Schizosaccharomyces pombe: one gene and its partners. The gene in region 3 interacts genetically with the main gene of each other region. Each region holds a gene or a part of one and is shown on either strand. Other genes may lie near its edges.

What was found. A genetic interaction does not mean that the proteins touch.
Region 1: mutations in bcp1 (region 3) and tim21 together harm fitness more than expected from each alone (negative genetic interaction), as found in Schizosaccharomyces pombe (one large-scale study listed by BioGRID).
Region 2: mutations in bcp1 (region 3) and ftm3 together harm fitness more than expected from each alone (negative genetic interaction), as found in Schizosaccharomyces pombe (one large-scale study listed by BioGRID).

Annotation. Positions count from the first base shown.
Region 1 is NC_003423.3:4,397,246-4,400,921, reverse strand, and holds tim21 (TIM23 translocase complex subunit Tim21), read right to left. Parts: upstream 1,624-3,676; 5' UTR 1,603-1,623; coding exon 931-1,602; 3' UTR 521-930; downstream 1-520. Other genes in the region: adn2 (transcription factor), read left to right, coding at 1-306; uap1 (UDP-N-acetylglucosamine diphosphorylase Uap1/Qri1(predicted)), read right to left, coding at 2,155-3,582. UniProt on the Schizosaccharomyces pombe protein: Essential component of the TIM23 complex, a complex that mediates the translocation of transit peptide-containing proteins across the mitochondrial inner membrane. Required to keep the TOM and the TIM23 complexes in close contact.
Region 2 is NC_003424.3:5,563,691-5,566,674, reverse strand, and holds ftm3 (transmembrane helix domain-containing protein), read left to right. Parts: upstream 1-2,023; coding exon 2,024-2,464; downstream 2,465-2,984. Other genes in the region: ftm4 (transmembrane helix domain-containing protein), read left to right, coding at 1-469.
Region 3 is NC_003423.3:283,103-286,484, forward strand, and holds bcp1 (thioredoxin peroxidase), read right to left. Parts: upstream 1,715-3,382; 5' UTR 1,424-1,714; coding exon 836-1,423; 3' UTR 501-835; downstream 1-500. Other genes in the region: csc3 (WD repeat-containing protein), read left to right, coding at 1-446; SPOM_SPBC1773.03C (aminotransferase), read right to left, coding at 2,937-3,382. UniProt on the Schizosaccharomyces pombe protein: Thiol-specific peroxidase that catalyzes the reduction of hydrogen peroxide and organic hydroperoxides to water and alcohols, respectively.

The DNA of each region.
Region 1 (3,676 bases), 4.1 Mb from region 3:
CCTGCTTTGGAACCATCGCAAGGAGCAAATGTTCACAAATCCGATTCTGAGTTGGATAATCAAAATCAGTCAGGAAAATCAAATCCTGATACTTCCGCGACTCCTTCTGCACCTACGGAGTCTACCACAGTTGCCACTAAATCTTCAGACAATCAATTATTGGATGTTGGAAATTCAACAGACATCGATGCGGCTCTTCTAAATGATTTTGACTTCGACAAATTTTTAAAAGATACTAGTACTGGTGACGATTTATGGTTTGGATTGTTTAATTTGCCGGATAATGAAGACTCGACTGCTGCTTAATTTTGTCGAAACTTAAGTATTTTATCCTTGTTTTTCTTCTTTTTTAATTTGTTTATTTGGAAATTATATACCAGATTTTTTCATCTTTTTTGAATGCGTTGCGTTTTGTCATTATAAAAATTTAATATATAATTAATTGCTAGTTGGATATGGATTAGTGTACTCGGTTATAAATACCGGCCTACATCTTGTACTTTATATCTAATAATCAAAATTATTTCATGTGCTTTGAATCATTCTTATATTTTTTATAACTAAACACATTTAGGTAGTACATTAGATTGGCGATTAATCAGCCCCTGCGAAAAGGCCCCTCGTACAAATTCGCTTCTTTATACTAACTAATTAAACAACAAATCATGAGGTTCGATCGCTTAATTAGTAATAAAGTGTCGACGATTTTTTTATTTTTTGCAATATACATCCAAATACTGCATAACTAAGTGTGCTAATTCTGATAAAAATCATTAACATCGCCTGTAAATTAATTCGTAAATTAGAAAATTAATTCTCTGCGAAAAACCATTAATCAAACCATTAAAATCGAGAAATAATTCAATGATTTCCTTTTCGGTTGAAATTAACAGCTATACCTTTCCGTCGTGCGTTTATCATTCGGAAATTCTAATTTCCCCATGTAATATTTTTTAAGCTTCCCCATAAACCAAAATTCTTATGTTGTTGTCGTACAGAATTGGTATGATCAAAAATTATGATTTTTCCGTAATTTGCAACATCAACGAAAAGATATTCCCATTTATAGTCACCTTGAACATTTACAAGTCTTCCAAATACGTGCCCTTTTCTCTCATTACCGATTAAGTGAAATTGTAGTACTAGATGTTCTACACCATGGTGATCCCACACACGACTAGTCAATATACCATGAGTTCGACGAAGAGGATGCGTGGCTTCACCTAGGGCTTTCATGTGATCTCCAAAAACATATCGACATTCTTCATTAGCCTTTAAAAGTTCAAAAGCTTCATCACCGTAATGTGCCTCGCCCTTCCAGATACTAGTGACAAGTGCATATATAATCAATCCGAAAACGCCGCCTCCAAATATCACAATCGAAAAATTTCCAATATTAGCAGAAGTTCTGTATGCTTTTTGAGGAGCCGTCAAATCCTTCCAAGCTTTGTTAGACGGATCTTTGAAAATTCGTGCCAGGCGCCCTTCTTCTTGTGGTTTCCGTTGTTTATTGAGAGAATCAGAAGCCAAAGAGTATAATCTCCTCTGAACCAAAGCTGAAGAAAACCTTGTAGCGCTCTGCCTTTGAATAGTACGAATCATCTAGTTGATACAAAAAGATGCAAAGAAGATGTATATAGTGACGAGGCTAAACGGCATAAAGGCAATGTCTAGTGAGCTCGACATAGGATGCAATGTAGTTCGTTAAATTTTTGAGCTTTAGCAGTGATATGGTTGTTACACCTCATTATTCCGTTAGTCAGGTAATTTAGTAAAAAGCATACTAAAATTTGAGAGTATTTAGCTTGAAAAGAAAGGAGTAATAATGCAACATCATGATTAAACAACGATATATTAAAAGTCAGGGTTATTTTAAAATGAACGAAAGCGAATTAGGTGGAAGATGATTTAGAAAATTTTCAGTCACTAATAAATTCAATAAACGCACGGTCAATTAATTTATTAAATTAATATATTAACAATCGAAGTAAAACCGTAATTGAAATCCTGAATGTTGATTTGCTGATTAAGAACAGCAATTAGTGCTTCGACGATTATTGTACAATATAAAATGAAAGTAAATAAATTTATCACATTGACTTTGTTACATTGTTTATATAAACCTTTAAAAATAGTTGAATATAGGAGAGGAAACTAGTAAAGTTTACAATTGCTAACCTGCTTCCCTTTAATCCACTCGAGTGATTCTCCTTGTAAACTACATTCTGGGGAAACATAGGTGCAGTCGCTTGGACTTAAGATACCACCATTCTTTAAAATCCAGCTTTTACCTAAACTCAAAATATCGTTTACACAAGTTTCATGGTTGTCATTGGGAGATTTACTTGAATTTTTTAGAGGACTAAATGAAGTCCTACGTGGTACCTGGAAACATCCAAAATTTTCAACTGACACACTGGGAAACAAATCGAAAATAAAACTCTCAAGTTTATATCCATTGGGATTTAAAGGTGTAGTATAATGATGAGACGTTACGTCGTAAAATGGAATTTTCTTGCATGCAAGGTGAATAGGAAGGGTACTTGAGTGCAAAGAAGCTTTCTGTAAGAAATCAAAAGAGAAATAATGGTATGCAATGTTAGCCGCACGAAGCAGCAAATGCTTGTGACCATCAACATTTTCTGTAGCTTTGCATGCTTCGTCAGAAATTTCAGAGTACTCTACAACACAAGGATGATTATGGGAAGATACAAGGAGACCCACTTTTTCAGCAGGATCGATTTTTTCAACAGTTTTAGTGGCAACCTCAAGTTTTTTAGTAGTAGCCATTCCTATGAATACAGGATCAACCGGCAAAACAAGAACATTGTCAACGCTATAAGCCGTAATATGGAGTATACCTCTTCTATTCATATCATTCAATGCACCAGAGGAAAGCAAAGCTTCATAAATACCTCCATTGCCGTTAGGAGCCCAAGCTAATGAAGAATCAGATTCAAAAAGGACCCTACCTGAGATATCTAGACAAGGTAAAACTCCTTGCTGGAAGAAAAAAACGTCTTTCTTATCAATACCAAAGAAATCATTCTCCTTAAAAAAAGAAATTGTCTCCTCTGACGTACATTCAGAAACCATTATATACCATGGAATGCTTATAGAGGCTTCTTGATCGGGAAATGCGGCTCTGGCGAGCGCCAACGATTTCTTAATTTTTTGTGCCTGCAGCTCAAAGATGCTCGGATTATTAGGCAGCCCAAGTCTAAAGCAACCTTTTGGACCAGCAAACCCAAGTCGAGTGCCTTGACCTCCTGCCAATACTAAGGCAGCTACATGACCTCTAGCAATTTCCCGAAGACCTGTTCTCCACCAACTTGAGTCAGACGTATCTACAATAGATAGTGGACCAACTTCTGAAGGGGACAATTTTCTGTTCTCTTGGCTTGTCGCTTTAGCATTTCGATACTTCAACCACAATGACCGTAAGTCCAATTGCTGAACTTGATTTAAAAGTTTCCTAAACTTTTGCAGGTCATTCTTTTTTAAATAATTCAATTGATCATACAAATGTAACTGATTAGTTTCTTCAAATATAGACCGATCAAACAATTCTTTGTCGTCCATTTCGTATTTAGCGTTATAAATACAGTCTAAAAAAAAAAAATGAATGTTTGGCAAACTTGAATCGCTAAAAAAATGCTATTTACGCTTCTTCAAG
Region 2 (2,984 bases), on a different chromosome or scaffold from region 3:
TTTCGGCATAACTAGAACTGTTCCTAAATATCTTATGATAAAAGGAATTAGTATTGTCATTGCTTTATGTTCTGTATACTGGATTTCTTTATATAAAGACGTATATGTAGTATCAGAGATTTTTGACATGATCCAGTATGAGGTATTTCCTGCAATTTGGGTGTATTCTATTTGTCATTTATTGAAACAATGCACGTCTGTAACAACTTACGAAAATGCTTCAAAAGCCAGATTTTTCAGAAGAATGCTAAATGCATTTATCTTTATATTCTGTGCATCTCCAATGTTGCATTACCTGTCGAATATTATATTTGGAAACTTTGATTACAGACTGTCGGTGATCATTGGTGATCTTTTCACTTTTATGGAGAAAATTGCTTTTCCATGTTACATAATGTTTCCCACCCATAATGAAGCACTTGCCTACAATCGAAATGTAGCTGAAGAGGCTCAAGAGAAAATGATTTAACAAAAACCATGGTTTACTTGATTCACCTTTAAAGGGGTTACCGGGATTATTTTATTTATTATTTGTTTATCAATGGATTAATATCCAGTTATTTTAATCTCACTTTTTTACACAGAAATTGTGTAGTAAGTTCATTCTTATTTAATATACCACCTATTTATTTTTTACAAATGAATATTTTTTTACTGGAACGTTTTAAATACACATAACCTTTGAGTCGATGTGAAATAATGTTTTGTTCAAACTTAAAAGTTGCGAATCTGACATATAGACAAAAAAAAAATAAAAAGAAAAAACTGGTTACCTTCATAAACATATTTTGCTAATTTATTGAATTTAATTATTTTCAACTTGCTTTCCCATTTTCCCAACAATTTTTTTATCTATAATATATATTTTACAAAATTAATATAGTACATCGCATGGTTTTCTTTAAAACGACATAAACGTATAATAATAAACGGGGATTCAAAGTAATAAATCGAATCCAAATCAACTTTCAAATACATCCATTTCATCTACTTTACCCTTATATTCCCCTTCATATCCCCAACAAAAAACAGGAATTTGCGAAAGTAGTAAATGGTAAAAGTGAATAAATAGAATCAAGGTTAAAAGCTTACTTGTATGCATAAGAAGATAACTCCCTCCTCTTTACTTTTGCTTAAAAACAGATTCTGAGATTCGGGACTAGCATCGGTAATATAAGTTTTTCTTTCATACTGTTGAGTACTAGCATCAGAACCCTTAATGGTAGGAAGATCATCATCATGACTACGCCTTTGTTCAATCGAGTAAACATTTGCTGGTTCGTGCCAGTCACACTGAGAACAACAAAGTACCTATTATTAAAAATGTTAGCAAGCGATCGCTAACAAGTTGAAAAGTAAACACCTCCAACTATTCCATGGAAAGCATGTAACAATGAAGATCAATGAATGGCTATTAGCTTAACAAACTTGTAAACTCAAAACAGACTAACAACGTTTGTCAGGCACTAAGAGCAATAATGGAACAGACTTCATATCAAACGCTTTCTTGAATGTTCTTACCTTATTCGTATAAACCGGAAGAACAGGCACAATGAGAACCGTTACGGTTTTCAACTGACGACATACTCGGACTAAAAACAAAATGTTATGTTAACATTAATAAGACAAGTTTAAAAAAAAAAAGAAAGAGCCAATTGCTTTCGAAACTACTCAACTTGTTTATTTCTCGTACCAGTCTTCTTTGAACTAAAAAAAAAAAAAAAGCATTAGCAAAATGTGTTGTCAAACGGATAAAAAGAGAATAGGAAGAAGATTGCTGGAAACAATTTTAAAACAGCGAATAAAAAAAAAAGAAATAATAATAATAATAATAAACAAAATACGAGTCGCTAATTTTTGAAACTAATCGCTTCCAACAACTGTTTCATTATAACTTCACCATTTTAATATTGTCCCCAAACAGCATGATTTAATTCTCTTTCACTAATTTCATACCACACAGGACACGTAAGTAAAACATCCTTATAATCGTCAGTGGATATCCACATATCTCGTAAATGTAATGGCATTGTTAAAAAAAATAAACACTCAAGTGAATAGAATTATGAAGAATTCGAGTCTAGTTCAAAATATTTGTTTTGACAGAGTCCCTCTATTTATACCAAGACTAAGCCTCACAGTGAAATATTGTCTAGCAGTAAAATTGCTGATTTATTTATTATATTGTTGGTACATTTACTCGGAAGTACCATCGGCTTCATCTAAATTCCGATCCTTTACATTTGGATGCGTCGTAGTATATCATAACAAATTTTTTCCTCGTTTCATTAGAACTCACTCCATTAACTCCATTAGAACGTTTTCTAAATTTCAAGTCATTATACTTTTCTCTATTGAGAAAGTCACTAGGTCAGAAAGCAAGAATCATTCTTACTCGAAAACCGATATTAGTGATCTGCACCAGGGCTATAATAATCCACCATCAAGATTCATATCACGATAACAATTCCATAGTATCTTGCTATATACGTGTAATGAGTATTCGATACTGGCTTGATTGCTATTTCTCCTTTGCTTGTAATCGTAAAATTGACTTGAAGATCTAAACCTTCTAATGCAATCATTGGAATTCTGCCTAACCTGATCAAATATGGCTTGATCACCGTTAAGTTAAAAGCAGAAGCTATGCCAATCAGTATGATTGTAACTTACAAAAAAATATAGCACAACGACATACAACATTATGGTACAATAAAGAAGACTTGATATATCAAGAACGAGGTTCAGTTTGTGCTCCGTTTATATTATTGTATTTCTATATATGACATTACTTGATGCAATCGCTTAAATATGTACTTTTGTGTAGTTATACTCGCAAGTACAGTAGCATTTTTAAAGTAGCGGTGATGTTGACGAATGGTTTGTTTCAAATCCATCCATTTCAATTTCAATTGTAAATTTCTCTTTTTCAATTATTAATCAAGTAAGTTGAAGTGTATCAGCACAATAAATTCTGACTATTA
Region 3 (3,382 bases):
AAATTCTTGTAAGCCAAATGCGCATTGCTGGAAATTCTGCTATTGGTAATCCGGCTGTTAAAGACAGGATCAACAAGATCGTATGGAAAAATGGTAACCCTGATCGCTTATATTCTCTGCATGAAAATGGCATGGTGCGAGTGTTCGATGTAAAGAGTGAGGAATTGCTTGCAGAGAAATCGATTAGCAAAGTCTCTTTGACTGGTATTGCGTTTGCTGTAAATCGTCCGGAATTCGCGATTAGTGCATCTGATGGAAGAGTCTTTTTCTTGAGGCAGGACGATAAACTTTCAACTCTCGAAAGCTTACCTAGCAGAGAAGCTCAAGAGGAAATTACTGATTTATCAGATATTCTTTGGATCAACTCACCCGTCGATAAGTTGGAGCATTTGATTGTGGGCTGTAAAGAGCGAATTTCTGTTTACGACCGCAAATATTTACCATAAAGCACTAACAAAGATAAACGAATACAGGAAGATTTCCCTCTTTTTATGAAACTTCCAACTTTTCTAATCAAAATGAGTTATTTGTTAAAAAATAATGATTTACGATTTCTAACCGTAATGAACCAAAAATCTACACCGTTGCTGGAGCTATATTTGTATTAGATATACGGCAACTATTTAATCTAATCTCAACGTTACTAAAATAAGAACAACACTAACTTGGACCATCAACTTGTATAAAATTGTGTAGTGATCATATTTGAATGTATCTTCAGGGTTGAAGCACATTGTAGCAAGACATAAAAAAGTGTAATTTCATCATGAATCATATAGCAATAGGCATGTAGACTATCCTCCAAATTTGACAATGAGCGTAGACAATTTGTCAACTAAGGTTCAGAATCAGTGATTACAGCAAAGGCTTTGTCAACACTGACAAGAGGTGATATGTCAATTTCCTTCACTATGCATTTGCCAGTACCTTTCTCAAAGATCCAATGGCTTCTAAACAGCTTTCCACCACCAGGCTTCTCAGCGCCTAACTTTTTAATTAGCTCACCTTTAGGATCCGAAAGCAAATGATAAGGAAAGTTTTGCTTATCCTTGAAAGCTTTTTGAGCTTTGCTAGTATCGAAAGACAACCCTAAAACTTCATAATCAGAGGCCTGTATCTTAGGATAGTTATCACGAAAACCACAACCTTGTTTCGTGCAGCCAGGAGTACTAGCTTTTGGGTAGGCAAAAATTACAAGCCCTTTATTTGCAGTAATATCGCGAAGTCGAATGGAAGTTCCATCTTCGTCAGGCAAAGTGATATCGGGAATTACGTCTCCCACTTGAATAGTTGAATCAACTGATTCATCTTTTGCAGGCTTTTTCAGCATTACTGGAGCAGCTTCAGGAATAATCGTTCCTTTGCTATCCAAGACGTTTGCAATCTTGGCTGCCAATCTGCTAGATCTTCTGGGGGCGTCCATTGACAGGCTTAAAGTGTGCAAGAAAAATGCTAGAGGGGAAGGAGAAAGGTTGATGCAGAGCTGCAGTATATAAATTTATATTCTAAACAACACCTGTAAAACCAAAAACGTTGGTGTCAATGCTGATCAGTATTAAATCGCTTTAACTTGTAAAGGCTAGATAAAATGATCAAAGTAGTGAAACTCTGTTCAGGATGAAGTACTCTGAACTTTTTACTACTCAACTTTCAGAATTTCGGTACCAAAATAAAAACAATTTTACAATAACACCTGAGATTTTCTTTCTGGTGTAGGAAGAAAGTACAGGTAGTGAAGAATCACGACATAAATATTACCAATTTGTTAGCTTCGCTTTGATATTACTTTACAACATTACCAATGTGATCCCGTAAAATCGTATTTAGCGTATTTAGCTGACCTTTCAAACGATCGATAGGGAACCGATCTTCCCCTGCTTATACAATCGGAATAGCTTTGCATCCTACTATGACTAAAGAATGTTTTCTTTCATAAAATTTCTAGTCAAATCATTATTAACATGGTGTCGTTTTTACTAGTATGGCTTTAAAAAATGGTCTTTCGTAAACTGTAACAGCATTTTCTCTGATTGTCCGTCTCGACAGCGTTACAGAAATATAAATAAAATAACAATTAATTTATTAACAAATTTCAAATATCTTTTGTTCGTCAATTGTAGAACGGATCCATCAGCTAGGAACTGATTTGCATGCAATGTCAATGTAGCAATCGTAGTAAAGATTCTAAGGAAGTAAGCCAAGACTATAAAACATGATGTTAGCAAGCGAGGCTATCGTCTTTATTAAACTAACATTGCATTTTTTTTATAAAAAGGCTAAAAACATTGCATCGACCGGGAGTCGAACCCGGAGCTAATGCTTGGAAGGCATTGATGTTACCGCTACACCATCGATGCTTGGATGAAGAGGTAAAATAATAGACATATATTACTTTAAAATTAAACTTGTATCGAAGTATTAGCAACTGGTTCTACATTATGAAAATAACCCAAAAACAATCCAAACTGTTTGGCTAATAATGTGTCTATTTATTATACATTAAATAGTTGAAATTATGGTATACTGCCTACTATGCTTGTAATATACTATAAATGTGTAATGTATAATAAAATGGGCATGTGGTGTAGATGGTTATCACGCTTCCTTAGCATGGAAGAGGTCCCAGATTCGAGTTCTGGCTTGTCCAAGTTTTTTTTTGTTTTTTACGTTTGTTGATTCAAACTATATAGAAACGCGTTTACGCAGAGAACATGTTTTCAAATGATTGCGAGCCATCGTCTACCCTATAGCCGTATGGAATTATCAATTTTATTACAACGAAGGGTCGTAGCGGAGAAAGTATATTAATGCATTGTAAATTCATTTCATATAAAATTAATTATTATACCATGACCAAAGGTCTTCTAACATAAGTATATCCAAATTATCTGAAACATTATAACTGATAAAGAGGAATTTCGTTAACTTGCGTACATTCAAGGAAGGGCCGCAACTGTAGATGTAATGGTTTTGCTAAGAGCCTCCACTAGTTCATCTATTTGCTCGCGAGTGATAATATACGGAGGAGCCAGCAATACGTGGTCTCCTCTGGTGCCATCAATTGTACCCATGCCTGGATAAACGAAAACACCATGCTCGCAACCTATTTTGTTGGCGAGAGAACCAACTTTGTATTCAGGAGGGAAACATTCCTTGGTAGCTTTGTCTTTAACGATCTCGAGTCCCCAAAACAAACCGCGGCCTCGAATATTTCCCACGTTGGGATGAGAGTCAAAAGTCTCATGTAATTTTTCCGAAAGGTATTTACCCATTTCTGCTGCCCTTTCAACAAGATGATCTCGTCTTAAAATAGTTTGCACCGCCAGGGCAGCAGAACAAGCAATTGGGTGGGCTTGATATGTAAAAAAACCAGCCATGGCAG